5 separate regions of the Mus musculus genome follow, and all the other regions are reported to be linked to region 4. Evidence: microRNA targets listed by miRTarBase, many of them from high-throughput screens and not tested one by one. Region 4 holds a microRNA gene; each other region holds the end of a gene's coding sequence.

Region 1 (5,948 bases), not on the chromosome of region 4:
GTTTTTTCATTCAAGTTAATCACTCTGTCTTGTAGAACTCGTTTCATTTCACTGGTTAGCTATTTGGTGGTAAGCAATTATGTAACATATCTTAAAGTTTTGAGTTCTTTTCTTTCTCTCTTAGACTTTTCCTTTTGGCTAAATGATTTACTCCAGTCATGTTTTGATCGCTTACTATTTTCTGTTCGTCTACTTTAGACTTTTGCTTTATGGTTACTATAGGCTTAAAAAAACCTCAGAGTTTGGTTATAACAAACCAATCTGTATGACAGCAGTATAACTCGAGGAAAGGAAAACTACATTAAACAACAAACCCTACACTTTTGAGATCACTCTTCCTCACTGAACTTTAAATGCTTCATTTCCTATCTTCCTATTTGACTTGTATGCAATGGTTAATCTCAATTGTCAGCTTGGTGAGATCTAGAATTACCTGGGAGATGAACTTCTGGGCGATTGGCTTGATTGGCTTAGTTGAAACAGGAAGACCTATCCACTATGGTGAGAGGGACAGACCATACCTGAGCTGAGATACTAGCCTATACAAAAAAGGACAAAGTGAGCTGAGCCCAGGAATTGGTTGCTTCATACTTTCTGCAGATACAATGTGACAAGCTACTTAAGCTCTTGCTACTTTTAACTGGGAGCCAAAATAAACTATTTTCTAAAGTTGCTTTTTATCAGTGTATTTTTATCACAGCAATAGAAAAAGCAAGACACTCTCATATGCCATTATTTTCTTTTCAGAAACATAACTATGTTATGGAGGCTGGTCTCCAAACTGATAGGCTCAAGCAATCTTTCTGCCTCAGACTCCTTAGTCATTGGGTCTGCCAGGAACAAACTACCCACTTTCCTTGGCTTATAGAATCTTTTTTTTTTTTAATGTAGAATTTTTTTTAAATCTTCTTATTGTTTAATAGTGGTTGGCCTACTGTTTTACAATACTAGAACATTCTGACTTTATCTGTACAGTCACTCTTGCCTGTGAGTTAGTATCTTTCTTTTCTTGTGGTGCTGGGAATCAAACCCAGGTCTTATGCATACTAGGAAGGTGGTCTACTTGACCTAAATTCTTAGCCCCAAAGTCTCTTTTTTCTTTTTCAATCCTGAAGGCTAGCTTTATCTTGGCTGATTTTCCCCCTGTCAGTACTATGTACATCTTAAGTACTTTCTCTTTGCTTATAAGATTTCTGAGAAGTTTGCCATCAGATAAACAGAGACTCTTTATGCTTGTTTCTTTTCTCTTGCAGCTTTGAGAATCTTTATATTTTATACCTTTGAGAGCTTAATTATGACAATGGGGCAAAAGACTGAATTAAAACCTTCCAGTTTTGTACTATGTCATAAAATGTGTTTAATGTAGGCATAGAACACTACATGCAAAGAATGTATGTAAATCTACATATGGTGATGGAATGTATAGTCAAAAAGTTTGGAGACCATTAACCCTAAAAGTCTGTGTCTTGAAAAAACTTTAACCTGGGTGTGGTGACATATGCCTATAATTCCAGTTCTTCAGAGATGGAGGCAGAAAGATCAGGAGTTCAAGGCCAGCCTCAGCTATGTCATGAGTTTGAGCACAGCATGAGCCCAAGAGACTCTGCCTAAAACAAACAAACAAAACATGGCCGAACTTACATACTTTTAAGTAGAGCTCTTTTCTAGGTAAGGTTTTTATACTTCAAACCCAAATGCCCAAACATGAGAAGTCCCTTTTTTCTTTTTAAATATACACATATAAGATATTTTATTTCAAAAAAGCACAAGAACATTATACAAGTTTTTAATTTACATTTTTGCAATAAAAGATATCAATATATGCATCATCTGTATAACTTCATCATGAATGGAATTTGAATCAGTGGTATAAACATGTTGCAGTCACTAAATATAGATCATCATCACAGTGAACCAAAATGCATAGTTGTTATGAAATGACAAATGACCACTAAAAGGTGAACTCACAGCCCATACACTAACAGAATAAATTAATTATACAGATATATGTTTATCTTTACTGTATCATTAAAATCCTTGCCAGCCCCTCACCAATATTAAAAACACAGAGTCAGAGCCATCCCACTAAACCAATTCTTTCATACACTACACTACATAAAGTGACTTGGTTGCTTAAGTAAACTTCTTAGCAGACTTAAATCATTTGTCATGATGAATACTATTAAAGATCCCGTGGGCTGGGGCAGCACTGTGACCTAAGTCTACCTCCAGTGCAGAAACTTCCATCTCAAGAAGCAGAACTGAGTGATGAATTAGGCTCTTTGGCTAGTGCTAGCTAGTCCTCCTAGCAGCTTGAAAGCTTAGCTCCAGGGTTTACAAATTGAATCTAAGAAGGCTAAAAATAAAGTCTTTATCCTTGGCAAATGGGGGCCAGATGACTAAGGCAGAAATGAGCATCTTATGTTGCCTATTCTAGCCCAGATTTCAGAGCTAAACAATCTCTCAAAAAAAAATTATAGAAAAAACAAAGGGCAATGTTCAAATTTCTTAATCATATTGGCAAATGGCACAAGCCAAATACTGAATTTATTGATTTTTGTCTCTTATAATTGCTGTGAACTGTTCATTATAGTTGCATCTAGTTCCTGCTTTCTTCTGAGTAGTATTTATCCAAGTAGGAAATCATGATTGTGAGTCTGGTGCCTGCTCACACCAATTTCTTACTGCAAAACCCACTTTTCATTCCATAAAAATGGCAACAAATTTAGCCCCAAATGTGCATCACTGATCACTTATCAAATGTATTTTTACTTCCTGGTCTTCACTAAACAGAAGGCAGGAAAACACTTAGACACACACATGGCAGCAGTAGCCAAGGGCAAAGGAAGAGACAATCTCCAAACACATCTTTCAACTGCAATATTACCCAATACCACAAAAGCTAAAATAAGTATCAACTGATCTACTCACAAGGTCTTGATATAAAACGGTAAAGCCAAGAATCAAGAGGTCTATGCACAGACTCAGGAGAGCTGCATTATTTATACGCAAGATGGCTCAACCACAGCAGGTTATAACAGGACACACACCTGATTACGTTGCTTTTTTGTTATTGTTGTTTATATTAATCATAAACAGTCGTTTATGAAAGGTTTCACCTAGACATCAAATCAAGGACCTGTTTCTTACAAGCCATAGAAGGTTGCAGAACTGGCTTAAATACAGTGTTCTAATTTCATCTCTTATGACCATTCACTGGGGCAATTTTCTGATTCCCATTCTACAAAGAGTTTGCTTCAAAACAAGAGTTTTCTGAGAGACAATAGGATGGGGCCCCAAGAGACGAGATCTTACTGCAGAAATCTGCCTTAAGAAATGTAACTGATGGAGAACTTGTGACTCCACAGAGCTCCCTGGAATCAGGTGAGGATAACAGGCTTTTGTATAAGGAATGCGTAATGAGCACATTCTCCTGAATCTACTTGAGGTCTATACTGGAAGGATGCTTTCCAGACTAGCACAGCTAGCACTCTCCATAGAGAGATTTAGATCTGTTTCTGACTGAAGCCGTAGGTGGTACAATAAGGATATTTCCTTAAAGAAGAAAGATGTTTACATGTTTTGAAATTTTTAATTGAAAGAAACTGCATAGTTGTGCAATTCCTCTTTAGACCATCACAGGTGATCAGCATCTTTTCAGATCTAACCCAAGCTAAACTACACTCGAGAAACACCAAATACAAAGGTGCAGAGATGTTAGCCAGATGGAGAAATGTCCACAAATGCTTAATGTGACCTCATTAACCAGGTGGGTGATATGAAATGAACTAGGACAGTTATGAAGGGAAAGGAGTTTTCTGGAAATATTAGCAGAAATAGACACTTGGATGAACAAGCATTTCTTTAGTGTTCTAGAACATAAAACATTAATCTATGTCTTGTTTTTCCCTTGAAGCTTATGTTTGATAATTGAAAGCAATATTCCATTAAGGAATATTTTATTAATGTGTGTGAATCTGGACATGGATCAAAAGACCCTCCAATACTTCCCCGTCCTCAGAAAGTTCTCTAGAATTTTAGATCAGTCTTTATTATTGATGTCACTCATGATTGTCTTGAGGCAGAACTGGAGCTCAGAGTAACTGCCAGTTGAATCCAAATAGCATCTGATTAGTCTCCTGGCTCCGAGCAATCTCTTCTATAATGCAGTGCTGTTGCCAGACCAAATGCAGCTTCCGATACCGCTCCCGAGATAAATGAAGTGGGTTTCCTCTCCTTCAGGAAAAAAAAAAAAAAAACAAAGCTGACATCTAAGCTTTAACAGTGCCATCTCTAGTCTTAAATCAGTACACACTACCAAGACATCCCTGCAGCTATGAGCGCAAGCATCAGGACGAGGCCCAGAAACAGGGCAACTCTTCACTGATTACTAAGAACTTGGCACACCACTTAGTTAAGGAAGCAGAAATAGACTATTTGGGAAATCAGGTCTCATACATAATGAACATAATGAGACCTCATTTAAACAGGTTCTAACTTGAAGCAGCTCTGGTCTTTTCTGGTGGATAGCTGAATGAGGTTCTAATGGCTTTCTGTCCTCACAATTTACCCAGCTTCAGTTTATGATTTTGTGTAGGAGGTTAGGTTTGAGGCATAACACTAAGACCTTAAATCATTCTTCTCCTCAGAAATACTTTGTTTTATAACCTTCCCTATGATTCATCTTGCACATGCTTGGTGAACACTTTCTTGGTTTTTGTTTGTGTTTTTTTCTCAGTCTTGTTACAGTGTCCAGGCTGGGTGTGAACAGTGATACTCCAGTGACCTTCCTGCTTCATCCTCCCAGGTAGCAAGAACTCCGTATAGATGTGCATCATCATACCTGGCTTAGCAAATGTTTAAGTAAGTACATTTCTATTCCAGGGTTACCTAGTTTGCAACACTGTGCCAGCTAACACAAAAAGTCTGAAGTCTGTTGAGTACAGTCATAGCGATACCTGGCATCTCAGTCCCTGGAACATCAGATGTCTCAGCAACTTGTCAACTTTCACACTGTTTATCATTAACTTAAAAGTTCCACATTTTTGTACTTTTCTAGAACAACTCAAGATTATCCTCAGTTATTAACTATTTTGTTGTTGCTATTGGTTTTGTTTTTGAGATAAACTCTCACCATGTGGCCCTGGCTGGCCACTATTCAGATCTGATGAATCTTAAATTCAGAGACTCACCTGCACTTGCCTCTTGTGTACTGGAATTAAAAGTGACCTCCACCCTGACCAGCATTAACTACTTTGACCACTCAGTACCTTCCTCTTAAACTTAAAGGCAAGTCAAATGCTGTCTCGATAAAAACAAATCCCTATATAATCCATTAGAGCCCAAGCCCTATCTAGTGAGTCTATTCTTCTGGATGATATTTTAAAAGAATAATAAAGTTTGGGAGAGAACTCTGTCAGTCAAGTGCCTGCCATGCAAACCTGAGGGGCCTGAGTTCAAGGCCCCAAACCTACATAAAAAGTTGATAACATGTGGTACTGACCAGCTACTCAGCCTCCTAGCATCAGGGAACCTGTCTCACTGTCTCACCAGGCCCAGGTGCTAGAAAGTGGGCTCAGTGGTTAAGATACTAACGACTGTCAGAGGACCAAGGTTCAGTTCCCAGCATCCAAATGGCAGCTCACAAACATCAGTAACTCTATTTCTAGAGTTTACGTTTAAAGAACTATTAATATACACATACAATAAAGCAAATAAAATATAAGACAACTGATTAAACCTTCCACTAAAGAAAATCTTACTTTAGCCCTGGGTCTGTTTCTCCATATTCATCCAAGTAAGGGGCTGGGTAGGCACAGCCTCTGGCTTTTCCTTCCACCAGGACCACCCTGCATTCTCGGATTCTGAAAAGTAAATCCAATGTTAGCAAACACTGTTAGATACACATATGCAGATGATAGACATCGAATCAAAGTTAAAGACAAGAC
Region 2 (5,948 bases), not on the chromosome of region 4:
TGGCCGGACCATCAGCAGGGGCAAGAAACCCACCAACCTGGGCACCAGCTGTCTCCTGAGACATCTGCAGCGGTTCCATGGCCATGTACTCAAGAATGATGTCTCAGAGGCCACTCTGTCCCGTTCTCCAGGCATCCGGAGGCCTCTGGGCATAGAGCTCTCAGGGCCTTCCTCTTTCCGTGACTCCACAGAGAAGTTCTATGACTCTCATCCAGTTGCCAAAAAAATCACAAGTCTCATAGCTGAAATGATTGCACTTGACCTTCAGCCATATTCCCTTGTAGACAACGTTGGCTTTAACAGGCTGCTCGAATACTTGAAACCTCAGTACTCTTTACCCTCCCCTTCCTACTTCTCTAGAACAGCTATCCCAGGTATGTATGACAATGTGAAACAGATAATTATGTCACATCTGAAGGAAGCTGAGAGTGGTGTGGTTCACTTCACCTCTGGAATATGGATGAGTAGCCAGACTCGTGAATACCTGACCCTTACAGCTCACTGGGTCACCTTCGCATCCGCTGTCCGACCACATTGTGAGGACCACCATTGCTCAGCACTTTTAGATGTCTCACAAATCGACTGTGACTATAGTGGAAATAGCATTCAGAAGCAGCTGGAGTGTTGGTGGGAAGCCTGGGTGACTTCCATTGGCCTTCAGATTGGCATCACTGTCACTGACAATCCAAGCATAGGGAAGATGCTGAGTGAGGGTGAACACTCAAGTGTGCAGTGCTTCAGTCACACAGTGAATCTGATTGTGAGCGAGGCTATCAAGAGCCAGAGGATGGTGCAGAACTTACTGAGTATTGCCCGGAAGCTGTGTGAGCGGGTCCATCGGTCACCCAGAGCAAGAGAGAAGTTAGCAGAACTGCAGAAAGAGTACGAGCTGCCACAGCACCAGCTGATCCAGGATGTACCGTCTAAGTGGAGCACATCGTTCCACATGCTCGAACGTCTGATTGAGCAGAAGAGGGCAGTTAATGAGGTATCCATTGAGTGTAACTTCAGAGAATTGATCAGCTGTGACCAGTGGGAGGTCATGCAGTCTGTGTGCCATGTGCTGAGACCATTTGATGCTGCAAGCCGAGAGATGAGTGCCCACATGTCTACGCTGAGCCAGGTCATCCCCATGATCCACATCCTCAGCAGAAAAGTGGAGATGCTGTTTGGGGAGACCATGGGCATTGACACCATGCTTAAGTCCCTGAAGGAAGCCATGGCAAGCCGCCTGTCTGCCACACTCCATGACCCCAGGTACATCTTTGCCACACTGCTGGACCCTCGCTACAAAGCTTCCCTGTTCACAGAGGAGGAGGCAGAGCAGTACAGGCAAGACTTAATCAGGGAGCTAGAAATACTGAATTCTACCTCAGAGGACACTGCCACCTCCAATGGCTGTGACTCAGGGTCCCCACTTAAAGACACTGGCACAGAGGAGAGCCTGTGGTCACTCGCACCGATAAAGAGAGATCAGAGAGAGAAGCTACCTGAAGACATGGTGCTTGCGTATTTGGAGGAAGAGGTGCTGGAACACAGCTGTGACCCACTCACCTACTGGAACCTAAAGCGGTCATCGTGGCCTGGGCTGTCTACCTTAGCAGTTCGATTTCTGGGATGTCCCCCAAGTACAGTCCCCTCAGAAAAGCTGTTCAGCACACCCATGGATGCTGGCAGCTTTGGCCAGCCCAGGCTCATGATGGAGCATTTTGAAAAGCTCATCTTTTTAAAAGTGAATCTTCCTTTAATATGCTTTCAGTATTGAACTCAGAGATGGAGCCACCAGACTGGAAACGTGCTTCAGAGTGCTAGCTATTGTACCAGGGCTGACTTGCCTGGCAGGGCCATGTAGGACACCAGACCAGGCATCTGGGGCTACCTGCCAGTTCTCACCATAATATCCACATGTGCCTTACTCCTCCTTCAGGCCAGGTGTCAAGGTGCGTTTTCAGAAGCCCACTAGAAACAGTCTTGGCAATTATGAAATAGGATGATCAGGTTTAAAACTATAAAGGTTTTTTGTTTTGTTTTGAGGGGATAGTAATCTGTTTTACTAGAATGAAAGGAAGATGTAAACAATTTTATTATGTAGGGTTTTTATTCAGTTGTGTAAAAACCACAAATCAGGTGCTGTATTTTAATTAAATATTTTAATTGCAACAAAACAGCTTTTGTGGCTGTTAAATGAAACCTGTAAATAGGAGGTGGAGGTTAAGCCATCCTGACTGAACAGTTCTTAACCACAGGCTCCAAAAGTATGTCCTAGAGAGAATATTCTGGAAGCTGTTTACAGAACCAGGCATTTGAAAACAAAACTGAACTTGGGCATATCATGGAGTGTCAATCACATGGCTAATTGGTCATGAGAATGGTCCCATGTCAGGTGTTGCATTCAGGTTTTACACGGTCAGTTAACTCAGAGATATCCCACTTATCATGAGCCCCTTGAAATTGGATCCAGGTTTTAAAGTCATGCTTAGGACTTCACCAGAGCATGATATGACACGTTTACAACAGATGGCCTGCTGATCCAATCTCCATGCCTCTGGTTTACTTTTTGCATCTCTATACAATAAAGCTATCTCATAAGAAGTATGCACTGACCCCTCAGTTTGACCAGATAGCGCTCAGATTCTACTTTGAGGAGGTAGCTTGTCGACAGGGAAAGCGCTTGTTTATTGCAGTCATGAGAAAAGCCTTAGGCATTTAGATTTTTTTTTTTCCTATGATAGGGAAGCCTCAACCATCACTGGGACATTATAGAGTCCCAAGGATACCAACATGAAGTATCAGCTATCAGACTCTTTACCAGACTCCAAAGTTTTTGCTTATGTCTAAAAGAAAAAGTTTTTCATTTTCTCATTTCAAATCAGTTAAATATTCTGGGTGAAACAAATCACTCATTGCCTCTGACCTTTTAGAAAACAAATGTTGTGTTGAAATACTGTGTGGGCTCGGTCTGAGTTTGCCTGGACTGTGCTTTAGTGTATTTATAAATGACGAACCTGGATTCTGAAATTAAACTTTTTATTTGCGATTTTCTATTGCTGACTGATGATGGCTTTTTATTTTTAGGATAAAATGCTTTTTTTTTGTTTTGTTTTGTTTTTCGAGACAGGGTTTCTCTGTGCAGCTCTGGCTGTCCTGGAACTCACTCTGTAGTCCAGGCTGGCTTCGAACTCAGAAATCCACCTGCCTCTGCCTCCCAAGTGCTGGGATCAAAGGCGTGCGCCACCACCGCCTGGCTCAGGAATGCTTTTTATGTGTTAATACATACAAACTGCATTCAAACAGTGTTTGAAATGTCCATACATCCTTCAGTCTCAGAATTGACTGGGGTCATGCAAAAAAAAAAAAAAAAAAAAAAAAGAAGAAGAAGAAGAAGAAATGTGAATATAGTCACAGGTAGGACCCTGGGGAGTAGAGGCAGTATTCCTAACAGTTCCATTTTTGATGATGGTAGTGGTGGTTAGAACTTCCTAGCACCTCTGCATACCCTGTCAGCATATCCTTTCTTACCTGATGCCTGTGCATATTTACCCCTGGGCACCAGCCTATTTCTGGAGAGCCCTGGAGCATTTGACCTGGACTTGAGTTTCACAGTCCACACAGTGCTCTATCCCCGGCCAGCACTCCTGACATGGGAAGGGTTAGTTGTAGATAGGAGCAAAGAAATGATAGTTGAGCAGATGTTGCTGAGCCCTATCCACAGCACTTGCTATCTGTTTCTTTCCTTTGCTTTCAGTTTTTCTTTTTGAGGCAGGATCTCATGTAGCCCAGACTGGCTGCCAATTCACTGTGTAGTCAAGGATGAGAATGAACTTAAACTTGTTCCCCTGCCTCCCAGGTGCTGAGATGACAGGGTATGTTACCGTGCTTGCTTCTATGCATTGCTGAAAATAGAGCCAACAGTTTGCTACATGCTAGGCAACTTAACTACTTACATCCCCAGGCCCCCACCTGCCATTCTGTCCCTGTAAATTTTCAGCATCACACTACCATATTCTAGTTTAAATGCTCAAGTCACAGGATATAAAAAGATTTAAAAAAAAAAAGTGCTTGTTTGTCTCAGCAGAAATATTACAACTGACATTGGAAGCACCATTACTCTGTGCCACAGATTACCACAGTCGGGTACGGGGGTCCCTGGAATGAGGGTTCTCAAAGCTAGGTAGGTAAAGTTTTGGCAGTAACAAACAGAAACACAGAGGCAGTTTGAGTGTATTTTGCAGCTCTCAAGCAGGGGGAAAGATACATTAAAAGAACAAATATTACAACTCTTAGAAGATGTGTTCAGTGAAGCAACCACAAATACCATCATTATCACTTGGCACAGTAAAGCACAAAAAACAAACAAACATTACAACTCAGAAAAGATGCACTAAGTGAATCACAAACAGAACAGGTGACATGATTATCAGAAATCATCCAAGTGTAACAACTCTGAAAGGATGTATTCAGTGGGGCAGCCATCCAAGGCTAGGGGCAGATTTCCAAGAGCAGGATAATAAATCCTTATGGTCAATTATTATTTACCATCTAATACCTGATTTTTTTTAATCTTCAATGCATAAATTTAAACTATATTCTTTTTAAGGATTTCTTTACCATATACCAAAGCCCAACACTGATGACACACATGTAGCCATATGAAATTTTATTGTTGGGAAAGTTTTTAATCTGTCATAATACTATTGTATAATTTTATAAATGATTTATAAAGTAAAGCATTGGTTTCCTCAAAGATAAGGTCATGTTAGTGTCCCCATCTCAAGGGATGGTTTCTTACCCATTATTCTCACTTAAGATCTTGGCCTAGGCTACAAGCAACATGTAAGTAAGAACAGGAATAGGAGAAAACAAAACATGGATTGCCGTGAGAACTACGGCCCAATATTTTGCTCTGGCCAAGAGTTCCAGGAGACCTCCTCCTTTTGAAGTCTACCGCCTCAGTCTGTGGAACTTGTCACACAGATTCTACTGGGGTTGGTGTGGCAACTCTTAATATTCTATTGACAGGTGATGAATGTATTTTTGATACCAGGCACCCTCATCACTAAGGACACAGCTGAGCTATATCTCTGTCTAAAGTTGCTGGTAGCCCTGCAAGAGAACAGGCCTAGTTCTTATGGCATAGACTTACACAGACAGGTATTTGGGTGGTAGGTTATAGGTATATTGAGAATAAATGTGTTCATTCTCCATCATCCTACCTTTTTTTTTTTTTAAAGATTTATTTATTTATTTAAAGTACACTGTAGCTGTCCTCAGACACTCCAGAAGAGGGAGTCAGATCTCGTTATGGATGGTTGTGAGCCACCATGTGGTTGCTGGGATTTGAACTCCTGACCTTCGGAAGAGCAGTCGGGTGCTCTTACCCACTGAGCCATCTCACCAGCCCCTCCATCATCCTACCTTGACTTACCTTCTGAGTTGTTTGTTTTCCTGCCTCCAGATGACATTTTGGGCAGGTTGTTCCTGAATTCCTCCTGTCTACCTGGAATGGGCATCCTAGTTAGGGTTACTATTACTGTGATAAACACCATGACCAAATTAGGGGGGAAAGGGTTTATTTGACTTACTGTAGTCTGTCATTGAAGGAAGTCTGATCAGAAACACAAGCAATGCAGAAATCTGGAGGCAGGAATTAATGCAGAGGCCAGGAAGTGGTGCTGCTTACTGACTTGTTTCTCTGGACTTGCTCAGTCTGCTTTCTTATAGAACCCAGGACCACCAGCCCAGGGATGGCACCACTCACAATGGGCTGGGCTCTCCCTGATCAATCACTAAGAAAAGGCCTTGCAGCCTGATCTTTTTTGGACAGGGCTTCTCTGTGTAGACCTGGCTGTCCTGGATTCACTCAGAGATCTGCTTGCTTCTGCCTCCCCCATGCTGGAAATTCAAGCTACATGCCGCCACCACCACCACTGGCTTTTACAGCCTGATCT
Region 3 (5,948 bases), not on the chromosome of region 4:
TGTTGTTGTTTTCTCTCTCTGAGTTAGTACATGATTGCTGCTCAGCACATACTATTTCAAAACTAAACTACAGCAGTATCTTAAAATGTCAAACATTTTGTATAAAATTTCCATGCTTTGAGGAGCCCGTGGGAGTAGAAAAGGTTTCTCTAGAAATGTCACTGGACTGTATCTCAGCCTAGCTGCTCTATGTGGTAAATATTTCTGGCTACACTAGGGATTATGTGCTTTAAAAAAATATTTCACTGAAAATTTACCATTTTCTTATTTTTCAAATGTGAATTGGCTATAAACTCTTTAGTGCATTTATCTTCGCAGTCTAAATTGCACTCTAAAAATATTATCCCAGCTGAGTTAAACCAGACTGGCCACTCTCTTCGTAAATCACTGATTTCTGCTAAAATGTTAGCTTTTTTATTGCATCATGAAGGCACAGTAAGATCATTTGGCAAATTGTCAAGATATTTTTCTAGAGCCTCCCTACACCATTTCACTCCTGTAAGCGTCCTGCTGTTTCTACTCACAGTGACCTCTCCATCTCTGGCTATGGTTTTAAAAATAGCTTATTGGTTGACATCTGCTGGTCAAGGTGCTGATAAACTAGTACTAACAATGCCAACGTGGACAAAGAAGCGAATCGTAGGAAAAAAGGGTATCCTTCCGCCCTCTTAGCTGGGCAGTCTCTTCAGATGAGTATCTGTGCATGTGACAAAGCTGTGGCCAACTCACTTTGAAGGCATACAGTTTTGCCAAACCTACTCCTAAAAAGTAGAATTATATCATGGCTAGCAAAGTGTTACCATAACTACTTAACTTCATGCGACTGACTTAAGCTTAGGATTCTGAAATCTATTAAGCAGACTCTGGCACCAATTCCAACAACAGATACTCTGAGCTACACCTTTAAAGAAAAACATCTTTAAACAGAATCACTGCTTAAATGTATAATGCCCTTTAGGACAAAAACAAGTGCTCAGCTACAATACACACGAAAGGAACCATCTTAAATCACCTTCATGTTCGAGCGCTCCTGACTCTTCATACTTTAAATAAATAACTATTCATTACCTCATTCTGAGGAGGTAGGGTTTTTTTTTTTTTTTAAGAAGTCACCTGAACCCTGAACTGTTTCCAACTAAAGCTAGATGCTGAGGTCTGCAAGAGGCAGGAGGTGGGTGTGCAGTGGGGACAGGTGAGATCTGCAGAGGGACGAACAGCAGCTCTGACAGTGTCTGACAAGCACAAGACAACATCGTGTGATCAAAGGGGCGGGGCTGCACCAAGACAGGAAGTATTTACAAGGTTTCTGGTTGACAGAGCTGAAGTCTTAAATCATGTCTTTACAGAATGCTTTCTCCCCTACCAGCATACATCTAGCATACAGTTTATATCAGATTGTCTTTTAGGATGCCTCATTATGCCCTCCTAACCTCAAATACAGAAATGGGCTGTTCAGGAACCAAATCCAACAAGTCACAGAGAATCTTTGTTGAAGATGCATATAAGTACGAACTGGATATTCTATTTGCAAATTCCTTCTATAAACTACATTTTGAGGTTAATAATATCTTAGTGGTAGAGTTTGGGTCCTGTAGCTTAACAATGAGAAAGTTCATGAGGAATACTACTTATTTAAAAACAGTCCTATATAGTTGCACTCAAACCTTTCAAAGACTTCACTCCAAACAAAACAAAGCAGATCTCACGAGGCACTGCAGCCACTTCATGGGCCGACAGCTGCAGCCCTCTGGGATGAGTGAAGCAGCCACACTGTCTATACAGTTACTCATAAAGCGCTCTGCACAAACACGGACTTCCTTGTATTTTCCGAGGAGCTCAACAAGATTATCTGCAGTCTTAAAAAAAAAAAAAAAAAAAAAAGAAGGAAAGAAAACCCCACAAAAGAAACCTTTTTTTATGTTGTTTGCAAATGATAAAAAAAATCTATTTGATAGAAAATAAGAAGGAAGGTTTAAATATTTATTTCTATCTTTTATATTCTCTATTTAAAAAGAAAATCTCACAATACCCTGAGCCTGGTTTCTGGGCACAGCTTCGTTTAATATCAACTCTACTTTCTCATTTCAAGTGAGACATCACCCTATACTAAAATGAGAAAGAAGTCTGTCCCTTTGCACTCTGTCTAGACCACTTCCATGCTGCGTACACGCCCCACCCTCCAGCACTGAGGGGCTCCTCCACCAAGGCCAGCCTTCAAAGCTCCCATTCTTCAGCAGGCCCGAAATGTGCAACTGTGGCCGAAGCCTACCTAGCTCTTTCTAGCTAATCCTGGGTAAAGGGAACAAAGCCACATTAAGAAGTATTTAAAAGGGTAATGACGCCTTTCAATGTGGCACATCATATGGAGAGGCTATTTTTCATATCAAGCACAATTATCTTCTCAGCTCTGAAACATTTGAAGACTTTGCTCTGTTTATGTAAGACTTAAAAACACATTGTTGCTAACTGGTTAATAACTTCAGAATATTTTTCAATTTACTGGGAATATATAAAACTTCCAGTAGGCCTTCCTTTGATGATACTTTAGTTATTTTTTATTATCAACTAATTAATTTTGTTTTTTTTGAGAGAGGGTTTTTGTGTGTGTAGCCCTGGCTATCCTGGAACTAGCGCTGCAGACTAGGCAGGCCTTGTATTCACAGAGATTTACCTCATTCTGATTGCTGAGTTGCTTGGATTAAAGGTGCACACTACCACCACCACCACCACAGTCTGGCAATGAGTTTAGCAAAATCCATCTAACTTGCTGTGAGTAGGCTTAAATACATAGTGGTATCAATTATAATTTGAACTTTAAAAATAACTCAAAATTCCATTTTATTTTAGATTCGCTAGTATTTTGGAAGTTCTTGGCTTGAAGTTGCTAAGTACATCTCCTTAAATTTGCACGTATAAATCCTGGAGATTCAAGATTCCTGGCTCTGAGAGGTACTGGTCATCAATCCATCCAGTTGTTTTCTTTACTACTATGGTGATTTTTATTTATATTACCTGTAAGTAAAGGCTAAGGAGAACTGTGACGAGGTGATACTTTTGATCTGTGCAAAGATAAGATTTAGGGTTCTAGAAGAACAGCTGGGGACAGGCTTCCTGCTCTCCTGCAACTCCAATGTCCCTAATAGTTGCATTGCCAGCTAGGGAGCTCAGGGACCGATTACCCAACCTTTTGAAGACCAGGCTTGGGGAAAACAGGAAGAGGGAGAATGAATGGAGACGCCACCACGTTTATTTTAGGTTGCATATTATAGATAAAAGACTAGAAAGAGGATGTAGGATGTAGTGTAGGAGTTAAGTTGGAAGAAACAATGGGATTGTTAGCAAAGATGTTAGTGTGGATCCAGCAAGTACCATTTATTTAAAAAGTATAAATAATTGTCATTATGCTAAGATTCCCCATAATTTTTAGGTAGAGAAAAGGATAATAATTATTCTTTAAAAGTTGTTTACAATTAACAAAAATATAATTTTCAGGGTATATAGTCTTGTGGGAAGTACTCATTTATTCCAATTAAAACTGAAAATTATTTTCTTCTTTTAAATAAAAATAGAAGAAACTCAGAAATTAAAACCTGTACCTTACATTTAAATTACACAAGTGTCTCACATTCAAAACTGTCAGTAAGCAGTTTTGTAGGCTTTTAATTAGGTGTTGTCCACGGTGTTTTATGTCCTGGACAAAGGAGCCACGTAAGTATTTGGTGACTGGAAGAGCTGAGAGGAAGATATGGACTGTATTTTCCTGAGAATTTGCTACATTGAGGAGGAAACAATCCCCCAACCCTCTCCTCAATTGCTGGACCCAATGAGAAAAGAAGGCAATGTGTGCCAGCACTGAGCAGCCTGAGTGGTTAGGCGGAGCCCAGTGAGCAAGGCAACCCGAGGTGAGAGAGCTGGAGGTGAGGAAGAAGATGCAGCACCCCCTTTTCTCTGCCCCGAGGCAGGCTCTCCTCAACTCTCCCCCACCACTTAACTGTAAAAAGCTTCGCTGTGACAGCAGCTGCTGAGGACTGAACAGGCGCTACACAAGGGAATGCTGCATTTACTCCATCCCTCAGAAATGAACGGTGCTGGACAGGGAAAGTGCTCCACAACATAATCCCAGAATAGGCAAGAACGATGCTTGGTGATGGAAATCGCCCCATCAGATGACCAGCCACAGGCTGATCTGGTGGTTAGAAGGGCAAAGTCGACTGGCAGACTTTCCATAGCAATTTTCCCAAGCTGCAGCAGCAAATTCTTTCCATCATGCCTGACCACCAAAAGGGCAGAATTCAGGGTCTCTCCTCTTTCTTCTTGGGAATGGGCAGACTTGTATGCACGTGATAGTTATGTTGAAGAAGAAACACGGGCAGCAGAGAATTCTGGTTCCTAAAACATTCTTCCCTCTTTTGTTGAATAGGAAATTCCATTCTGTTCCACATGAACTTATGCATTGAAAATTTTGTATCTTTAAAAAATTTTTTGAGGAACAGAACTGTGTTTTGATGTTAACAAACTGTATGAACACAAGACTTAAGAAATAAAGAGTAGATGCTGCCATGATGGACTGGCTACTTGAAGGCTGCAAATTCTCCTGTAGAGGGAGGACAAGAGCTGATTTTAAAACGTCATCTTGAAAGAACTTCAAGACAGAAAAGCCTTATTTGGGTCTCACTGAAAGGTGATCAGCTAAATATATTACAAACCTTGTAACATAAGTCACTAGTTTAAACCTTGAGTCATTGGAATCCACAAAAAACAATTCAGCCACATCAAGAAAATAACAAGCTACGGAGAATGTCCCAGCTGGGTACCACGCTGCGGGGCAGCCTCAAACTCACAGCCTTGGCAGGCCTCACACAGCCACCTTTCTACTTTCCTTTTGCTTTTTTTTTTAAAAGATTTACGTACTTTTTGTATATGAGTACACTGTGCTATTTTCAGACACACCAGAAAACGGCATCAGGTCCCATTACAGATGGTTGTGAGCCACCTTGTGATTGCTGGGAATTGAAATCAGGACCTCTGGAAGACAATCAGTGCTTTTAACCTCCAGCCCCTGAGCCATCTCTCTAGCCTCATTTTTTTTTTTTTTTTTTTAAAGACGGGGTTTCTCTGTGTGGTCTTGGGTGTCCTGGAACTAGCTCTGTAGTCCAGGCTGGTCTCAATTTACAGAGATCTGCCTGCCTCTGTCTCCAAGTGCCGGGATAAAAGGCATGCCCCATCCACCACCTGAGTCATATTGGTAGCCCCAGCTACTTGACTTTGTAAGTTCTGTCATTGACTTTTTTATTTTAAAGAATATCTTGCTATATAGATGACCTCGAACCCATGACCTTCTGCCTTAGACTCCTGAATATTATTACATCTGATATTTTTCTCTTACTAGGAATAACCTCTCCAGTGTTTAATTTCTGTCAGATTTGGACTGGTTGCTAGGGAATGTTGGTATGTCTCATATGGAGCAGACTGTTAATGACTGGTGGACTGAATCCTAAGATTTATATGCTGAGAAGATCAGCACGATGGTCTTGACCTTGCCACCCTCTTGTCTCCCTGCCATCTTTCTTAGCACTCTAATCACATTTTAATCATTAAAGTTTGCTTTCCTAGCCTGAACACAACTAACTGGGCTACAGACAGTCATATTATCTCTTTCCGTCAAGGATTATTTTTAATGATTATCTAACAAAGGCATTGTTGAGCCAAAAGACCAAAGAAGGAAGCCAGGTATAGTGGTTCCTGCTTATAATCCCAGCACTTGGCAGGTACTGGTAGGGAAATCCCAAGTTCCAGGCCAGCCTGGGATGTACAGGGAATCTGTTTTTCAGATGGGCAAGTTGCTAAGTGGTCTGGAAACTTGCTCCAAATCACACAACTTAAAAAATAAATAAATAAAAAGGCCCAGAACAAAACAGTAGGGTATAATCCTTTATGAGAAGAAACTA
Region 4 (5,948 bases):
TGCCACTTTTCTGAAATTGTTGACTATTTCTAGACATTTAATTTTTGGGGATATCTAAATAGAGACAATTTGGCTCCTCCTTTTCTTATTAGTATACTGCCACTGTCTCCAACCCGCAGAGACAAGAACGACACAGACACCAAGACGGGTTCGTGCAGCTCCACAGCTTCCTTCTTACTTGCAGCTTTTTGCAGCTTTCTCTTTACTTAAGGCAGGGGCTATATTTATACAGTAGTGGCAACTGACCTCATCTCGCTCCACACCACCTCATCCAATTGGAATCACACACGCTCTAGGCACGAGCTCAGGTCGGCCACAGATAGGCTGACAGATCCGGATCACGAGGAATAATCTAACTTGGCAGGCAGCTTACGCATGCAGTTTCACTGCGCATGTTCCAGCAAGGTAGTAAACATGTGGGTTTCATGGGATCTGGCAATGGGCCAGGGCGCCATCTTGGCCCATGCAGCCGCACCCGCTTCCCACAGCATACCTGTAATTTTCTTTTCTTTTCTTTTCTTTTTTTTTTTTTTTTTTTTTGTCTATTGATCCATCTAAGTGCTTATAGCTCAGTATTGCAAGGGAGTGGTTGAGTAGTGGGCAGCTCTGTTTTGCTCTTAATTTTAATGGGATTACTCAATGTTTCTTTATTTAGAATAATATTGGTTGTAGGTTTGCCATATATAGCTTTTATTATCTATATATGTTTTTCCTCCAGTCCTGGCCTCTAGGACTTTTATCGTGAAAACATGTTGTAGTGTGTCAAAGATTTTTTTTTTTTCCTGCATCTATTGAGATGGTCATGTGAGTTTTTTTTTTTTTTTTGATCTTTAAGTCCATTTATGTGATTTATTACACTTACTGACTTAATGGATGTTGAACCAACTCTGAATTTCCAGGATAAAGCCACCTTGATCATGGTGGATAATCTTCGTGATAAGTTTATATCCAGTTTCCTGATACTCATTGAGGGTAAAACTCTCTGTTTCTCAGGGATAACAGTCTGTATTTTTTGTTTGTTTGTTTGTTGTATCTTCATCTGATTTGAGTATTAGAATAATACTGGCTTCAAAGACAAAGTTTTGGAGTTTTCCTTCTGTTTCTGTTTTTTGTTTTGTTTTGTTTTTTGGTTTTTTTTGCAGAATTTAGGAAACGTTGGTTATAGCTCTCTCTTGAAAGTCTGATAGATGTCTGCTTTGAATCCACCTGGACTGGGCCTTTTAGACTTAGAAGTTTATTACAGTTTCAATTAACTCCTTTCTTGTGGGTCTCTTTTGGTTATTGGTGTCATCTTGGTTTAATTTTAATATTTTGGATGAATCAAAATATTCATCTATTTTTTTCATATTTTGCAACTTAATGAAGTAGAGTTTTAAAAAGTATTCCCTTTTAATATTCTGTATTTCTTTGATATCTGATGTAATGTTCCCTGCTCATTTCTGATTCTGTTAACTTGGGTTATTGCTTTCTTTCTTCTGGTTAAGTGGGCCAAGAGTCTGTAGATCTTGCTTATCATTGCAAAGAACCAGCTATTAGAGTAACTGATCTGTTATATTTTCTTTGTTTCTATATCATTGACGTCTGCTTTGATTTCATTTTTTCTGTGACCCACTTATTTAATTCCAATTTCTTAGACTATCACACATGACTGCTGCGTTTACATTTCTACCCAGCCTTCTCCTACCAACTCCTCCTGTCCCTCTACTCCCTCTCAAATTCACAACCTCTGCTTCTTTAATTATTGTTCCATATATATATATATATATATGTATAAATACATATACACATATACATATATCTACACACAAACACATACATCTTGCTGAATCCATTTTATGTGTATTTGTTTAGGGACGACCACTTGAGACTAGATAACGTGCCAGTGAGCTCATCCTAGCAAAGGCTCATCCTTCCTCTCTCAACAGCCGTCAATCAATTGCCTTTAGTCTTCTTCTAGGGTGGAGCCTTGTGATATTTCTCCATTCATGTTGCAGTGTCAATTGATGTTGCCATTGTGCAAGTCTTGTTTATGCAGACATATTGTTGAGATTTCATGGGTACAGCTTCCCTGCCATGTAAGAAGACACAGTCACCCAACAGAGCTTCCAAGTCCTCGGGCTCTTGCAGTCTTTCTGCCCCCTTCTTATACTGTGTTCAGTGAGCTACTTTAGTGTAGGGGTTGTATTGGAGATGTATCAACTAGCTTTGGTACTTCATGGCCAGTTTTTTTCTGAATTTTAACCAGTTGTGGATTTCTGTAATGGTCTTAGTGATGAGCCTAGAAGAGAACTTACTGCTTCCACTTTCCTATAGTTTAATTTCTAACTGCATTCTATAGGAAAGTGGAAGCAGTAAGTTCTCTTCTAGGTTCCGTGACCTCACCAGCTGTGGATAGCTGGCTAGGTTGCAGTACAAAACATAGATTCCTTCCTATTATGCAGGTCGTAAGTCTAGTTATACAGCTTTGTTTACTAGGGAGTAGATGCCGCTGTTACACACTTGGGGATGTCTTGCCTTGCTTGGTATTGTGTGGTTTGTAGGCTTTATAGCTAGGTGGGGCTGTTGCATCCTCCCTTGGCGATTACATAGCACCTTCGGGTACTGTGAGAGCAGGTCCTCAGGGAGGGGGCTTTTAGGTCAGTTGCAGCTTGATTCCTCCAAGACCTGTATCTAAAGTATAGTGTCTTCAGCAACAGGATCATCCTTTGAAGTTCTAAGGAGCAACCAAAGACAGAAGCCCATATTATTTAGGTCCTCTCTCAACTCAACTCCTATCAACAACTAGAAGGAAGGTGTTCCAAGCCTGACAAACGGAGTTTTTGTTAGATAGTTATGGCTTTTGGAGAGAGCATCACACCCAGTGGTATAATTTCATTAGGACTTCATATATACACACATATATTTATGTACATATAAAAGTATATTGGCTCTTAAGCAAACATAAGATAATGTTTCCTACAGCTTTTAGACGTCTCAGTGTCCTCTCCCTCTTCCTGTTGGCTCTTTCTCAGTATTGCCCTCCATCCCCTCTTCCCTTTTCCCATTTCCCTCTTCGTAGCACCTGTGTCTCACAGTTCCCTACTAGAGCTCCTTCCTTATATTCCACTCTCCGTCTAGGTTAGCACCACTTGCTTCCTTAGAGATTGAAGATGTGTCGGTGTTTATTTAATCCTCAAGTTATGTACAGGAAGAGAAACTTACTCATTTGACCTAGGGTTTTCTGTAGGACTCTCTCACCAAATAGTTATTGTACTAGGTAACTATTTGTTATACAAGACCACATATTTGCATGCCAGATACTGTACTAGGCCTAGGAAATGGCAAGTGTCCAAGTGTACAGACATGCTTTCCAAAAACTTTCTATGATGTAGATTATCTCAATTCAATATCATTTTAGAATTTGCAAGTTTAAAAAGTAAGAAGTATAAAGTTAATATATTTTATTGATCTCTGTGGACAAATTAATGTGCTTAATCTATAGATGAAAATCAATATATAGTCAAAATTGCTATCATGCTGACCCTGCCAATCCAGACTTATAAATTCTAATACCAAAGTGGCTGACTGAAACATTATTTTAAAAAGTCTGTTTCATCTTAGTTTGCCTTTAAATGTATGCTTGTCTTGCTATTGTACAGTTTTGTGGATGGGACAGATAATGAACAAGAATATATTTCATGTTTTTATAATTCATGCACTGCAATGATTATGAAGTCTGTTTTATTAAAGTACATTGTTTTTAGTGTTTTCCCTAACACATTATTTTTTTTTCCCTCTTATTAGAGATCTTTCAAAACCAGAAAGGTACAACGGAGACAATGTAATCTACAAACCACCCGGGGTGAGTTTCTGTTTTACAGACTGCTTAAGACACCATAGTTAATACAATTATAATATAAGCAATAGCTTTGTTTTAAATGCTGGAAGAATCATTGATGAATTCTTAACTTTTTAAGTACTAGGGATTGAACCAAAGGCTTGTGTATGCCAGGCAAGTGCTCCGACACTTCTACATTCTGGCCCCTTACTGTGTTTGAGTCAGCGTCTCACTAAGGTGCCAGGCTTGCCTTGAACTTGAGATCCTTCTGCCTCAGCCTCCAGAGAGGTGGGGATGAAAGGCTTGTCCTGCCATGACTGAATGATGTGACTTTGAAACCATCATGGTCTAGTAATCCGTATTTCAGAGTGACGCAGTGTTCACAGAATCCCGAAGGTACAGGCCTGCAGTGACAGTGCAGGCCCCTGACTTCTCTCCCTGTCTCTGTTGCATTCAGTCTGAGAGCCAAATGTTTGTCACCACTTGTATTGTGCCTGTAACTCCAAACCTGCTGGGGCATAAATTAGCTTCTTGACAGTAAAAGCACCTAGATTGTTTTAAACTTGGCTAAATTGTTTTTTTTTTTTTAAATCAATTCTCTAGGAGAATTTCATACAAGTGTGTCATATTCACTCCCCTCCCCCAACTCTTCCCAGATCTACCCCTCCATCAAGACCAACTTGCAGTACTTAAATAAATAACACTCTTAGGTATGTAGCTTTCTAGTAGAGTGAGATTGACTTACCAGGGCCTACCCCCTAGCGGAACGCTGGCTATCCTTCCTCTCCCTGTAGCTGTGTGTTGCTAATCACTCAACTGATAGGAGAGGAATTGTGTGCCCAGCTCTCTTCTCCATGTTGGATTTGGTCTGCTGTGGGCTTATACAGTGTTGCATGCGTATGCGGTCACTGCTGCTGTGAGTTCGTGAGTGCAGCAGCCCTGCTGTCACCACAGACACTGTTCCCATTTTGTCATTAACAGCCTTTCTGCCCCCTCTTCTGCAATGATCCCTGAACCTTGAGAGGAGTGTGGGATATATGCTTTTTTTCAGGCTTAGCATTCCCTAAGAAATAGTTTCTTATATTCTGCACCTTTGCCAGTTGTGGCTCTCTATTCCAATCACCATCTACTGCAAGTAGAAATCTCTCTGCTGAGAGCTGAGATACATGAATCTGTGGGTGTAAATTGATGCTGTTGAGAGTCGGTTTAATACTCTGTCCATTGAACAGAATAGCATTGCTAGGTTCTCCTTTTGACTAAATTATTTGTAAGCGTGTTTAAACATGAAATAGTTGGGTAGGCCTGAATAATGGTAGGAACAACTAAGGCAAAATTTGCACTATGTTTTCTTAAATTGACATAAAGATAATCACCATGAATGTTTCACATCCCAAAGATAGAATGAATTTTTTTTTCTAGGTCATAGTTAGGTTTGAGGTTTGTTGTTATTGTATTTTGTATTTATTTTTTTATATTTTGAGACGGGGTCTCTATTATGTGCCTCTGGCTGTCCTGGAACTCACTATGTAGACTGGGCTGGCCTCAGACTCACATAGTTCCACCTGCTTTGGCCTCCCAAGTTCTGGGATTCAAGGCATATATCATCATGCCAGGCCAAGATTTTATCTATATAATTTTAATGTGCCTATAATGTTTTGATACTAGATTTTTTTTATGTAGAGAAATAATTTACCATTACTTTTAAAGGTCATTTTCTAGTCCTAATTCAGATACTATTTTAATCCATTTTTCTATTGCTGCACCATATCTGGAGTAGAGTGCTTAAGAAAAGAGGCTTCTTTTGCTCACAGTTCTGACGCTCAGAATCTAAGACTGGCTTGTTCCTTCTGTTACTCAGAAGGCTCCCCAAACTGTGTCACAACATAATGAAGGAGTAGGAAGGAGAAAGCCATGTGCAGAATGTGTTGTGTATGGCAGGAAACCGGAGACCAGGGGAGACCAGTTTTGTTCTTTTAATAACAAATTAATGCTACAAAGCTTAAATGGAGTCCTGCAAACCTGCATTAATCCCCTCTGGGGGAGGCACCTCAGTGACTTACTCTCTCCTCTCACCACTTTGTTAAAAGTTCTATCACTTCTTGAATCCACGTGCGACCAAGCTTTCAGCTCA
Region 5 (5,948 bases), not on the chromosome of region 4:
AGCCCTCTGAAGGCTCCCGCTTGAAGCAGCCCCTCCAACAAGCCCGTGTCAGCCAACCTACAAAGGCATGAGGGTTATTTTAGGCAAGTGAGATGCATGGTGCTTATGATGGCAACAGTGACTGAGGTGAGCAGATGGCAGGCTCTCTGGCTCCACTCTGTCACAAGGGTGAGTGACAACTCCCTCCCCCTTACTTCTCTATACCCAGAACCTCAGCTCCATTGCAAGCAGCAGGTGTCCAGTACTGGCTGTGACCACATTCCTGTTTATTCTAAAGATATTGAGCTATGAGAATAAAACTGAAGGGAATTTAACAATTTTGAAGTCAAGACAAAAACCAGAGAATCAGCACACGCATTAGAGAGCACTACAGGAGGAGGACTGCCTGCAGCTGAAGTCAGGTTTTAAAAATCAAGACTGTGGTCAAAAGTTATTTTGTCTTCCTCCACGTGTTAAATGTTATTAATAGTACCTACCTCATTGGATAGTCATGGGGATTAAGAGATAACATATTTCAAGCATTTACGTCTTTGCCTGGTACATGATCAACAGTGTACTGGCCTTTTCTATTACTGTTACCTGCAGAGATGATTTCAAAGATTATTAAAACTCCTTTATCTGTGGTCCCAAGCAGCTACTAATATTTATCTGTTTTTAATGCCTGTTATCAAAGCTCTGTATAGCTTGTTACGCTCTCATTTCACATAGGAACACCTCGTGTTGAAGAGCACCGTGCCCCCATCTGCCCTCTTCCAAGCACTTCCAAGCTCTTGCACCTAGGAAATCTCGTAGGCCTTCTTCACCTGCTTCAGTCAGACTTGTCCCCAGTGTCCAGGTTCTGCGCTGCCTCCACCATGAAGCCCGCTGCCTTCCTGCTCGCTTAGGTGTCCTGTTCCTGCCTTCCTCGGTGGTGGCTTATCTCAGTCCTATTTATCACTTTTTGCTTACATGATGAAACCGTCAGCCGTTAAAGGACACCACCACCATTCTGCCCACTGATACTCAAGTACATAGCAGGTAAGAAACATATACTTGTTGAGTTAATACATGTGAAAGATTCATTTTGGTAAGTACAAAAGTCTAAAATAACTACTAAGAAGCCACTGAGTTCTTAAAGGACAAAAATCAGAGCTGGGGATGGAGGCACATACCTGTAGGTGATGCAGCACCTAGACGTGGAGTAGGAACACTCAGGAATTCATTCTAGGCTGTAGGAAACACACTAACAACCTGCAAAAAACTTGTCTAAAAACCTGCTGTAACTTAACACATTTTAAAGAAAAAAGTTCTTTATATGTAAAAAAGAAAGACACTTGATTTTTTACATTAAAAATTTTTATTTCATTTAAAAGATCCAATATTTGAAGCCAAATTAACCCCAAATTTACAGCTACATTTAGAGATCTCTGAACTAAATGGCACTGTTTGAGGTCACCTGTCATCGTTATCTCCCCCAAAGTTGTTTCTGAGCAAAAGCTGGTATTTCTGTAACACATATCTTAGATGTCACCTTTCTCACAGAAATTAAAGGCCGACAGACTTTCCCCTTGTGGGCGAGGATAAATACACAACCGACCCACCAGGACCAATGCTTTGTGCACACTATAGGTGTATGTAACTATAAAGTAACGTATGGCGCTATGCTGTGCTCCTGTATTTATTCCAAATACTGGTGTTAGTCAACACTTTCTGGGATAGTACTTCAAAATTTCCCTCTTCCAGTGCACACCAAAGGAAGTGGGTTGCTCAAGCTAGAGACAAACTACCACAAAGGAACAGCTTTTCTAGTCGGCTGGTAACAGCACAAACCACCTCCCGAGTGTTTTACTTAAAGTGATGCAGGATCTTGGTCTCTACATACATATGAGGATAAATTAAAAGATGAGTTTGTTACTTTATAGCTACACATTTGACTTCAATAGATGTGCAGACAATGTGTCTAATGAGTCCATCTGGAAATCACTTCAGCCTGTGAAAGAGAAGACATGGCAGAGGGTGGAAAGTCATCCTTCCAGCATTCCCTTGGAGGACAGAGCTGGGCCCAAGGACAGAAGTTACCAGGAGGGAGGCTTCAGCTCCATTAAGGAGACCTTCCTAACAGAGCTGCTCAACAATGAATGGACTGCTCGTGAGGTAGTCACTGGAAGTGTTCAAGGTGGAAAGACAACCTTGGAGAAGGGACTCCTGCATTTAAGAGGTTAGACTGGATGGACCTCAGGTCTCTTTCAATTCTGAGATTCTAGAAAATTCCCTCAGGGAATTCAGAAGAGAATTCCTAAAAGGAAAGAGAAAGCACACATATGGTATACTTTTAGAATCCTCTTGAGTTTTCTTTTTTAAAAGGTACAATAGAAATGTAGTCTACGGTCTTTTAAAATGCATATTTACCCTTCTCCCACTATTAATTACGAAGGGTTCATTACGACTCCTTTATATTATAAAGAAAAGATGGAGATTATATTTATAATTTTGCAAATATTTTAGAAAAATGCTTAAAATCTAGTAGTCAATGCCCTAGAAACTTTATAGATTTTTAAGTAATATGCACAGATACAAATACATTATTCATTAAATACAGCTCACGTCTGTGTTTTATTATACTCTAAAATATACAGGAATCTTGATGTACTGAAAGAGTGCAAGTAAATACAGGATTCAAGCAGTCACTATTTCTATGTACATGCTCATTAATTCTTCAAAAAACCCACAAAATTATCAAATAGATCAAAATACTGTTCTGTGTTTTCACACTTTATATTCAGAAAAACCAGCTGATAATTTACAATGTCATAAAGTTCCAGTTTCACAATACAAAAAGGGTAAGATGGAATTGGGTATCATTTTGTTGCAATGTATGGAACTTTACCCAGCTCTAGTAAGACCCCTCCCCCCAATGTAAAATCATTGTTACTGGGAAAGTGACAGTTACAATAAAAGAACCACAGAAAAGTGTAATTTAAAATTAGCCTACTGTCAGCCTCTTCTCTGTTACCTGAAAGGCAGTCTTCAATTTGGCAGGCAAGCTCTGACAGTAAGAAGCTGCACACCCGCTACTCTAGATCTCAGGAGGACCTAAAGCCTGAAGTATTTTAAATCTTGCCCAGTACAGAAATGCCTTCCAAATGACCTGATTCTGTTTATGTTATGAGTCATCATCTAAAGCAAACTCCAATGCTTCTGAGAAGGAAGCCAAATGGTTTGATGTTGATTTTTATAAAGAAAACATCTGAAGCCAGGCAGTGGTGGTGCACACCTTTAATCCCAGCACTTAGGAAGCTGAGACAGGTGAATCTCTGTGAGATCGAGGCCAGCCTGGTCTACAAAGCAAACTCTAGTACAGCCAGGGCTACACATAGAGAGCCCTGTCTTAAAACAACAAACGACTACAACAACAACAACAACAACAAAGGAAAGGATGCATTCAAGAACCTTCCAGTGCTGTGAGGACGCAGGAGAGGAAGCAGGTACATTTTTAAGTATTTTCTTTTACATAAAACATTTACAATCCCAGTTTGTATAGAATTCACAACCAGCTTTCGACAATGTTTCATAACAAGAGTCTTCAAACTTTTTAAAATTTTGATTCTTGTTTTTAAAGTTCAAAGATTAAAATAAATGACAATAGAATTCCTCCAGCCAAAAAAGGTAGAGGTCCCAAAGTAACTAACGTGATGCAGGTGTGCCGCGCACAGAGAGGCTCAGATGTCCCTTCTCCAGGACCGCTGCATTACAAGAGGTGAAATAGTCTGTTTTTTAAATTCATTAAAAATTTCCTCTATGGAATTCCTTAAACAAAAACAATTCAATTTAAAAGCAAACCACTCAATCGTGGGCAACAGCCCTGACTTCATCTGCGTCTGTCTCTAGTACTTTCAACCACGCTGCACCCAGTTAACTGGTTCTGAAGTCTATAAAAAGTGGAATTTAAAAACTTTTATATTAAAAAATGTAAAAATACATCTGCTTCCTCTCATGGCTTAATACAGTAGATGCTTTCTTATAAAAACCAACACCAAACCGAATCTGGCCTCACTTTCAGAAGCACTGAAGTTTGCTTTAGACGACTTCTCATTTCATCTATTTCCGTTTCCACAAAATGGAGTTCTAATAAAAAAATCTGTATGTTATTTGGTCCTTGGCAATTTGATGTGTACATAATGCCTATTATACCAAACTTTTATTGCATTAAAATTTAGCTGTAATTTTATGGGTAAAATTTAATCTAGTGTTTTGATCTCTTTCTTTACAGCAGTGTTGCCCATGTAAGCAGGTCAGGGAGCAGTGTCCCAATTTCTGGCACTGCAAAGCCAATTAAACGATCCCACAAAGCAATCGACATCACTGTGTTTTCCACTGGTCAAGTCATTATTAAGATTCTAGAAGTTCCTTTTGCAAAACTTGCCTTTAAGACTCTTCTTCCTAATGTCATCATGTTTCTTCCATTCGTTCACTGCATGATCTTTCTTCAGGTTGAATCTGTGTATGATAAGAAAGTGCCTTTTTCCCGAAAAAGCCCGATTTGAAGTTTCAGTGTCAGAACTTCCTTAGAGCTGCAGCTCACTCGGCCTTTCAGTAGGTCTCGGAGTCAGAGTCGTTGAGCTCATCCACGTCGGTGTACAAGTACTCCTGCTCGCCACCAATGTTGTTAAAACTGCAGTAGGAGCTGGCTTCATTCCTCATGATAGGCAAGGCTTCAAAGCTAACTGTTTTTGAGGTGTTGGTATAACGGTTAATGGCATTGAATGTCAGGGATGTCAATGGGCTACTTGACGAGACAGGCATCATGGTGGCCAAAATGAGAGCCAGGCAGTCAGCCACATCCTTATTGGGAGCACAGGCCAAAGCTGGGGTGTAGCCTATAATTGAATTTAAAATTTAAAAGTTAACATCCCAAGATCTTCCATCTTCACACACAGATTTGATGGCTTACAGCAGATACTTTGAGTAGATAAATTCACAACTGTCTAGTAAGCAGGAAGAGGTACAATGCTAAGAATGTGAGGTAGAAGGAGAGCTTTCACACTAAGTAACAGAAGCGGGAACTAAAGCCTCACAATGGGTACTTCCCCCAACATCTCTGGGTTGGAGATGGGTAAGATGGAGCACTCTTAGAATAAAGGGAAGAAAAAAACCCCAAGAAACGCACATCAGCCGATCCCCTTTAGAACAGTGAGTCGAGGCTTACTGTAATTCACACCTGTCTAAGTTAACTTCTACATGGTGACCATCTAAACATGGAAGCATATGAATTAAACACAAGGAGATGATCACTAACTACATACCAACTGAATTACAGAAGTCAGAATTTTGGTGTGCTTGTGGGCCTCCGACGTGGACGATGGCTCAGTGGGTAAAGTACCTTGTAAGCATGAGAACCTGAGCACAGTCCTGGACCCCTCTTAAAGAAGCCAGGCGGGCTGGTATGCACTTAAAATTCCACTGCTGAAAGAGCGAGTTCCCAGAACCCACTGGGTAGATACAGCCTTGTGAGAAAATGATAAACTAAACAAAGCGTTAAAAGCTCAGAATTCCAGACAAGTATTTCCTTTCAACTTAGCCAAAAAATTTCCTCAAATATAAAGAGCCCCAAGCATCAATGGGAAAGCCATGGATAACGCATGTGGTACCTTGGTTGGCAAAGCACTAACCTTGTGGCTGAGATGGGAGAGAGGATGGTAAACATCCTACTGTGACGGCAAGTTCCAACTATCCCACATCAAGTTTGGGTTGCCCTTGTTTTAAGCCATGGGCAGCCAAAAGGCGCTAATGTTATAGATGTCTTGAAATTTTAGACTAGCTTTACTGTTGCTCTATTTTTCATATTACTGTGCTCATGTTTTAGCAGTCACATAATACGTACTTTAAAAGACATAACTTGTTTTAAAATAGGATGATTTATCACAGACCAAATATTGATATAGCCACCAGCCGGATACCACAAACACTGC

What was found. The annotated mature microRNA mmu-miR-1958 reads UAGGAAAGUGGAAGCAGUAAGU and lies in region 4 at 2,336-2,357, shown strand. An mRNA with a match to its seed (bases 2 to 7 or 8) in the 3' UTR can be bound and repressed. Matches are read on the target gene's strand: a 7mer-m8 pairs with bases 2 to 8, a 7mer-A1 pairs with bases 2 to 7 and ends in A, and an 8mer does both.
Region 1: miRTarBase lists Ubr1 as a target of mmu-miR-1958. Seed matches in the 3' UTR shown: 7mer-A1 at 2,637-2,643.
Region 2: miRTarBase lists Zbed4 as a target of mmu-miR-1958. Seed matches in the 3' UTR shown: 7mer-A1 at 2,720-2,726.
Region 3: the mRNA of Braf is a reported target of mmu-miR-1958. Seed matches in the 3' UTR shown: 7mer-A1 at 4,418-4,424, 7mer-m8 at 1,884-1,890 and 7mer-A1 at 641-647.
Region 5: miRTarBase lists Ankrd28 as a target of mmu-miR-1958. Seed matches in the 3' UTR shown: 7mer-m8 at 3,408-3,414.

Annotation. Positions count from the first base shown.
Region 1 is chr2:120,858,556-120,864,503 of GRCm38, forward strand. Ubr1 (ubiquitin protein ligase E3 component n-recognin 1) reads right to left here. Exons shown (of 47, transcript NM_009461.2): 46 at 5,763-5,864; 47 at 1,717-4,236. The coding sequence ends at 4,095. AV039307 (expressed sequence AV039307) reads left to right here. Exons shown (of 4, transcript NR_038350.1): 2 at 3,633-3,769; 3 at 4,739-4,863. Among named protein-coding and RNA genes, the nearest start is that of AV039307, 11 kb to the left of the region's middle.
Region 2 is chr15:88,781,473-88,787,420 of GRCm38, forward strand. It overlaps Zbed4 (zinc finger, BED type containing 4), which reads left to right. Exons shown (of 3, transcript NM_181412.3): 3 at 1-3,044. The coding sequence ends at 1,765. Among named protein-coding and RNA genes, the nearest start is that of Zbed4, 33 kb to the left of the region's middle.
Region 3 is chr6:39,605,811-39,611,758 of GRCm38, forward strand. It overlaps Braf (Braf transforming gene), which reads right to left. Exons shown (of 22, transcript NM_139294.5): 22 at 1-4,594. The coding sequence ends at 4,572. Among named protein-coding and RNA genes, the nearest start is that of Gm34389, 7.8 kb to the right of the region's middle.
Region 4 is chr4:48,209,543-48,215,490 of GRCm38, reverse strand. Mir1958 (microRNA 1958) reads left to right here and starts at 2,276; the gene lies at 2,276-2,372. It overlaps Erp44 (endoplasmic reticulum protein 44), which reads left to right. Exons shown (of 12, transcript NM_029572.3): 7 at 3,784-3,841.
Region 5 is chr14:31,697,451-31,703,398 of GRCm38, forward strand. Ankrd28 (ankyrin repeat domain 28) reads right to left here. Exons shown (of 28, transcript NM_001024604.2): 28 at 2,565-4,856. The coding sequence ends at 4,570. Among named protein-coding and RNA genes, the nearest start is that of Btd, 59 kb to the left of the region's middle.